Linked DNA regions of Schizosaccharomyces pombe. The protein of the gene in region 2 interacts with the protein of the main gene of each other region in a biochemical or structural test. Each region holds a gene or a part of one and is shown on either strand. Other genes may lie near its edges.

Region 1 (3,526 bases), 3.5 Mb from region 2:
TAAGATTATTCCCAAAGAAGTCTTGTTAACCTTCAAATCAGAAATCAGTAAACGACGCAAGCAACGTAAAGCTCAAGAAATGAGAGAAGAAAGGTATCGACAACGGGCTGAACGTGATACAGAGGAACAGATATACTCCGAGTTAAATATGCAGAGACCTGTGCCAAAAACCGTAGTGCATGAGGACCCTGCTGAAGCATTCCCCACATTGGGAAGTCATCATCAATTTGAATCTACCGATGAGGTTAATACAGATGAGTCTACCTTATCTACTGCAAAGACTGTTTGGGGAACAAGAGCTCTTGCCAATATTCAAAATGACACCGATGATCAAGACGATCTTGATGGTTGGAAAGTTGACTGGGACAAAGTTGCTCAATTATCTGCACCTTCCAAAAACTCAAAAAACAAAAAAAAGAAGAAATTAGTTTTATTATCAACAGGTGCCGCCCATCGATAAAGATGGAGCATTCTCAGTGATGAAATGCTACTGAAATTTTTGAAATGCAGGAGTGGGCTTTATTTTGAAATATAGTTATAACACTTGTTGCTTGAATTATGAAAGTTTACGATTGACCAATTTTTTGGGGCATGTGAATAGTATTCGCTATTATGACAACCAGTTAATGTAAAAAAGGATAGAATCAGCTGATGATATATATCTACTTATTATTTATCAACATTTTAATATTATTAGAAAATCAAAATCAATTTTTTTAATTGATGGTTTTTATTAATTAACAAGGTAAAATAACTTTGTTGTCAAAGCAAACTAGTCATAAGCGTTCATCACATCTATTGTAAGACAAATCTGAAACATCCTTAAAATCGTGGTGGCTAACCTGAGAATGATATGTATAAGACGCGCGTAAAATAATCATAATGCAAAAGCAAAGAAACTTGAAAGCTAAAAAGCTAGAAATGCAGAGTAAAAAAAACATAAAGAATCATTCAACCATTGTCCACAAACAATTTTGCTGATCACAATTAAAAGAAGGCGGGGCCATCTTAAAACAGGCAAATTGTTGATCTAAAAAGGAAACACTGTTCCAAATGTATTTTCTCCTGAATACGTGATATACAAAAAGCCGTCCTCACTTTTATGCTCTTCGTATATCGTTGACATCAAGGCCGCTGTCGGGGGCAAGATTTCATCAATGAAAATAAAGATGGCCTTCTCAGGAGAAAGTTTTATCCGTTTGCGAATAACATATACAAATTGACCAACTGTAAGGTCAGATGGAACGAGATATTTCTTTTTATCTATTGCAGCAATATCAGATTTATCAACTTTCTCGCAAATAACCTGTTAAGTTAGCAGTTAAGTTTAAAACGTAATTTGTATTTTTGAAAGAAAAAGGTCAGACTTGTAACAATGGATTCACTTTTGATGACAAAAACAATGGGTGTTGTTCAATTCACCACTATTTTGCTCTGAAACCTGTTCTCTTTGACCACCAGACTCTACTTACAGGTATTCGATCGGGATATTTTTCCCGGATTCTTTGAGACTCTGTTTTTCGTTTCTCTGATTATTAATTAGCCTACTAGTTCCAGGTATTCTACAATGCTGTCCAAAAAACAACTTCTATAAGTTTTTGACACATACCAAAAGAAAAGTCGTCCTTGAATTGAGAACGCATGAGAACTCTCAAACTTCTTGCTTGAAGTAGTAACTCCTCTCTTCAATTGCTTCAAAATTCGGTGTTCTTTGTAAACGGTGCGTGAGTTATGTGGTATACGGTCTTGGATAAATAAGCGTACCCTTGGGTAACGTATACAGAGATATGAAGCAATCTTATGATACTATGATAAGTTACCTTATTTCGTAATAAATAAATACTTTACGAATCTTAAGCAGTACACAATCAAAAGGAATTTTTACTACTTCTTTATAGTATGATAGCCATAATTGGTATATACTCAATCCTTGGTACAACAAAAGTCACAACTCTTTTAGGAAGAAAAGCAAGAATGGAAATAAAGACGTTGTGTAAATAAATAATAGCACGCTTAACACGTAAATACCTTCCAAAAAAGGTTAGGAAATAGAATTTTGCAAATAATTACTATTTCTATCTTTCATTAAATAATCAAACCATTAGAAAAATAGTAGTGTTTGATGTAAACAAATAAGCGCTTCTTGAATTATTTGCTTAACATTGTGCTAAAAGTTGCTACAGCAACCAAAATCTAGCGAGTCTTGCTATTAAACCCCACCATAACTATTTATTTATCCTTTACCACACAACGAAGCTTTTAGTTTGTGAAAACAAAAATGAAGTTGTTCTATTTCTCTTTACTTTTTACTCTTTTCTTTGGGCTTATCTCTGCCAACCGTGGCCCCAAAGTTACAGACACAGTGTATTTCGACTTGCAACAAGGTGATGAGTTCCTTGGAAGAGTTACCATTGGATTGTTTGGTAAAACTGTTCCCAAAACAGCCGAAAATTTCCGCGCATTAGCCACCGGAGAAAAGGGATTTGGATATGAAGGATCTATTTTCCATCGCGTTATTCCCAATTTCATGATTCAAGGTGGTGATATTACGAAGGGTGATGGTACTGGTGGAAAATCAATTTATGGCAGCCGTTTTCCTGATGAAAACTTTAAGCTTTCTCACCAACGTCCCGGTTTGCTTAGCATGGCTAACGCTGGACCCGATTCCAATGGATCTCAGTTTTTCATTACTACAGTTAAAACACCTTGGTTAGATGGACACCATGTTGTTTTTGGTGAAGGTAAGAATTCATATTGTAGTTGTATATGTTTTATAAAAGTGACTATTTGTTTTCTTTTTCCTTTTTTTTGTTTGCTAATACTAATTTTATCAGTCCTTTCTGGTTACGATATTGTCAAGAAAATTTCCAAAGCTGAGACTGACAACCGTGATAAGCCTCTTGAAGATGTAAAAATTATCAAATCTGGGCAGTTGTCTCAAGAAAATGTTGAAGATGACGGAACAGATGAATTGTAATCCCTACTTTCTATTTATGAAAGTCATCAACATCTAGTGTTTATAAGATTTACTTGAAAAGCAATGATTTTACATTCTGTTAACATAAACGTTTATCATTGGAAGGATCACTTCTTGTGGTAGTTTGTTTGCATTTTCTGACAGCCATAGTTGTATAACTAATATACGCATAAAGAATGCGATTTTAACAAGTTTTCAATTGAATGAATATAGAACTCTACGTATATTATCCAATTTAGCAAGCGTAATAGCAATGCTGCAATTCTGATAGTAAGTATTGACAACAAACGCGAAGCTTATTAGCTGCTTACTATTTTGTTATGTTTTATCAAAAAGAACTCAAAGACATTATTTTTTCCTATCAGCTGGCTGATATTACTAGCACGTTGTGTAGTTGTTTACCCTATGGGCTCTTAGAAAAGCGGACTTAAGGAATTTCGAGAGTCGGAAGCTGTCCACCGCAAACATTTGGGTAAAATCGGTTTTTGCGTCAATTGTGAGAAATCAATTTCAAACTAATCGTAATGTTTGACTCAACAAAAAAATCAC
Region 2 (4,244 bases):
TTTCTTATCAACTTTAAATCTTGAATATGGCGTAACTGTTTCATACTCATAAACAGAATTTTTTGTTGATCTGCCAAATGGCGTTGGATTTTTGGAATCGAAATGCGAAATACCCAACGGTGAGTGTACCCCTTGACTCAAATCACCAATGTTGCTAACATCAAAAGGTAATACCGGGCTCGGTTTACTAACTTTTCGATCTTCAAAATCAGAGCCATCCATCCTCATCCTAGTTTTCGTAGTCGAATTCAGTTATAGAAGCACGTAAAAATTTATTTCAGAACTTCAGGTGGTAAAAAGAGAAAGTAAAATCCCAAATATAATGGTATGCGCAGAGAACATATCTAAGCCAAAATAAGTATTGATTCCATTAAGGATGGCTCGCCACAGACCATGTCATCGTAATTTTGCCTCCCCATGCATTTCTCTTCAAAAGGAAAACTAAGGCACAATTTAACGAAACATACAGAATTTTGCAGAGACAACATAATGTATTGCTTTGAAAACTGATTTTCGATCAGTTGCCGTTTCTTTAAAGAATTAATAAGTAAATCGAGTAATGACATTTAGTGAAGATCTTGATCGAGAGTACTGGTTTGAAATTGCTCCAGTTGCTTTTGTAAAGTTGCGATTTGTGTTTCAAGCTGTTTGATTTTCAATTGAGAATCGACCGTAATCTGTGCCGTAGATGATTCAAGTGAATCAGTTCCGGACTCCATAGGCTCCTCTTTTTTCTTTCCAGATATTGAACGAAAAAATGGAAACCGAAACAGACTTTTGCGTCTGGTATATTTCATGAGTTTGGTCGGAGCTTCAATTGTTTGGAGCGTTGGCGTTTCAGATCTATCAGGGAAGTTATTGTTTATTTCCTTAGTAAAATCATTATTTTCCCAAGAGCCGTTAACAAGACGGTTTGACTGAATATCCTCCCTAGAATCCGTAATCTCTCCAATACTACTTTCGCTACTTGATGCGTGACCAAATGCTCTTTTAAATGATTCTTCCCTTTTATGACTTCTTCCCATCTCCTCTTCAGATAATTCCTTAGCATCATTGTATGAAGGAATAAGAAACTTGGATACATTGTTATCATCTGTAGTTCCTTGAGTAATGTGTTGTAAATGTAAATCCTCGTTTTCATATGGAATCCTTGTATTATTTAAATATTCTTGTTGACTTATATCGAAATTCGATAGCGGTTGAATCTGCTCGTTCGTATTCTGATAGGCAGGATCTTCTTTGCTTGTTGCATTGGCATCTTCTTCAACGCTGTTACCAAGAGAAAAATCATCACCTTCTACGATCAAAAAACTCTCATCGGAGCTAAATATGCTTGGTGATGGCTGATCATCATCCATGGGAACGATGGAAAAAGCAACTGCAAGTCCATAGTTGGTTGACAGCTTTTTAACCTGCATTTCGAATTTAGAATACATTTGATATAAATCGTCCTCAGAATCTTCCATTAAAGCTTCACGAAAGCTTGGTTTTAGTCGAACAGTAGTATTATGATCACCTGGTAAAACCATTGAATTGGACGTAAATCGTGGAGTTAATGAAGAAGTATACATAGGTGATAATCTCGTAGACATTGACATTGATATTGGTGTTTGTTTGTTTGGCAATGATTCTCGTAACTCGCGTATACGAACCATCAACTCTTCGATTTGGTTATTTGCGCATCTTTTAATAAGAGGCTGAGCTGTGTTCTGACATATCTTTTCAAACTGACTTTTTGCTAATCCATAATACATAATTGCTTGTGAAATTTCTCCCAAAACTTCCTGATTTTCCCCATCTCGGGCGTATTCATGCGCCTAATTTTGTTAACATTCACATTCAAAAGCGAACGATAATTACGAACTTCAAACACTAAATTTACTCATATCCTTATCTCTTTAAGCATCTCTTACCTTTCTTAATGAATATCGAACCATAACACATTTTAATAATATACTGTTGTTGTGTAAGGAAGTGGCCAACTTATGTTGTCTACAAATGTGAACGACATAATACGGTACATTAACTCAAAATAAGTTTCTAGAAGACAATTCCTTCAAAAAAAAAACTAATAAAGTGATAGACACCAAATTAAACATTAGAGTTATATTCGGACTAAAACTGCAACAACAGTACTATCATGGAAATTATAAATTAGAATTGAATCGTAAGGTAAAAAATTCATTTACTACTTCTTTCTTTTAAGTAAAAAAGTAATAATATCGCTGGTGATAAGCTTTACTCATAAATTTAAATAGAATTAACTATTGTTTCGTAAGGGAATATTCGCCAAATAGAACCTTCATAGTAGAAGGATTTAATGGAAGGTATAACATGTAACATAACAATGGGTTTTAACCGGTCGATAACCAAAATAACATAATAAGAGAATAAAGCTAAAGGCAACTAAAAAAGTAGACAAAGTCGATTATTTTTTTCAAGCAAACGATAACTTAATTTTTATGAATGGAAAGGTTTTCGAAAGCAGGAAGAGATTCTTCCTTGATGCCGGCAAAGAAAACATCAGGAGTCGTACAAGCACCAAGAGCCCGACGCATATGCGAATTACAGAATGTAAGGCCGACTTCGTAACTGGCATTAACCCATCCAAAACCTTCGCGAGCAACGCCTTTGATATTGACACCCTGATTACCATACTCAGCTTCAACACGATGTGGATCAACTGGTCTGGTCAAATCATATTTTTCAACAACAATACCATTAAAATCAACAAACGATTTAGTAATAGTATATAGCCAACGATATACAAGTCTACGAGTCTCCTCTTCATATCCGTATCGAATCAATCCATACCAAGCTAAAATCTGCTGAGGGCTCCAGCCATTAGGATAATCCCATTGACGGCTGGGATTATCAAGACCCACTTTACCCAAGCTTCTCTTTGTACCAGCAACTATACCTCCAGCAACTTCAAACTTGGGAAGACTAACATCAACAAATTTTGCGGCTTGACGGGGAGTTGCCACACCGGCCCACAAGGCCCAGAAAGCAGTAGCACTTTCATAAGTACTCTTCGTTTCTAACTTCGTGTTGTAATCATACCACATCGAATCAGCTTCTGACCAAAGATACTTTTCCATTGCAGCACGACGAGCACGAGCACGACGATCCCAAATGGCAGAAGTTTCTATAGTTCCGTTTGGAAGTACAAACTTGTCATCGAAATATTCTAAAATCACATGTGAGATGTCGGTTTCATATTTGTATAGCAACGAGTTCAGATCCACGGTGGCCAAGTCAGCACAAACTTTTTCCAACCGATAAGTAGTATCATGCCCGCTTTCGCGAACTGCGCGGTCGTGCACGAAATACTCATCCAACGCGGGTTCATGAATTTGTTGGTAATTGTATGCATGAGTAAACTCCTCAAGAGTCATATGATACTTCTCCATGTAAGGACGAAGCAAATGCTCAAAATGAGAAGCTTCAGTTTCCGGAGGAATACCGAGTCCTCCAGGGCGATAGCGGGAAAGACCAGTTTTGGGATCCAGTCGTGGAGTGGCAGTCCAAACAGTGTGATATTCTTTTATAGTCGCAGAAAAGGCCCGATGCAAAAAGTCTAAAGATCCTTCTTCGTTTTTTATACGTTCATAAACTCGAAGGGCCATATCGGTCAAAAATGGAGGCTGGGAGCGAAGAAGATAATAAGTGCGGTTGGCATTCAAGATCTTACCGTAATAGGTAATTTCAAAAATAAAATTCTCCACCATACCTTTCGCCAAGTCAACCCGATCGTCAACAAGCAAACCCAGTGATTCAAAGTAAGAGTCCCAGCCGTACAGTTCATTAAACCGGCCACCAGGAACGACAAATGGCACACCTCGAAGATGTGTATTGCCTTCATCATCTTGGTATTTTTCCATTGCAAGTGCAAGTAACCCTGGCTTATCATTTACATCTCTCACCCATTCTGGAGTAATCTCTTCCGGCAGATATTCGACCTGTAAATTCAAGTAAGGCCTTTCCTTAGCAGCGCGAACATAGTATTCATACATCTCTTGTTCGGCTTTAGGAACATAAATTCGATTCACGTGTGATCCTGATCGGTCTTTGGTATCACGGCAAATAACATCCAAAACACTGGCATCGATTCTTCGAGTAAGGGCATCCCAAAAGGTACCTTTGATGAGTCTAGAAAGTCGGTTCACAGGGTTTTCATTAAGTCTTCGCTCATCAAGTAAAATATATCGACGTCCATAATCCTTTGCCAAGGTCAATTCCTG

Evidence for each region.
Region 1: the proteins of atg38 (region 2) and atg8 form a complex in vitro, tested with the Schizosaccharomyces pombe proteins (one study listed by BioGRID).

What each region holds. Positions count from the first base shown.
Region 1 is NC_003423.3:3,683,623-3,687,148, forward strand, and holds atg8 (autophagy-associated protein Atg8), read right to left. Parts: upstream 1,749-3,526; 5' UTR 1,644-1,748; coding exon 1,610-1,643; exon of another isoform or gene 1,529-1,609; coding exon 1,473-1,528; exon of another isoform or gene 1,307-1,472; coding exon 1,031-1,306; 3' UTR 659-1,030; downstream 1-658. Other genes in the region: rnf10 (ubiquitin-protein ligase E3), read left to right, coding at 1-460; cyclophilin family peptidyl-prolyl cis-trans isomerase Cyp4, read left to right, coding at 2,279-2,741, 2,835-2,977; SPOM_SPBP8B7.26 (uncharacterized protein), read left to right, coding at 3,502-3,526. UniProt on the Schizosaccharomyces pombe protein: Ubiquitin-like modifier involved in autophagosome formation. With atg4, mediates the delivery of the autophagosomes to the vacuole via the microtubule cytoskeleton.
Region 2 is NC_003423.3:207,495-211,738, reverse strand, and holds atg38 (protein Atg38), read right to left. Parts: upstream 1,981-4,244; 5' UTR 1,938-1,980; coding exon 1,914-1,937; exon of another isoform or gene 1,818-1,913; coding exon 567-1,817; downstream 1-566. Other genes in the region: protein mug168, read right to left, coding at 1-228; alpha,alpha-trehalase Ntp1, read right to left, coding at 2,454-4,244. UniProt on the Schizosaccharomyces pombe protein: Functions as a part of the autophagy-specific VPS34 PI3-kinase complex I that plays a role in autophagosome assembly. This complex is essential to recruit the atg8-phosphatidylinositol conjugate and the atg12-atg5 conjugate to the pre-autophagosomal structure.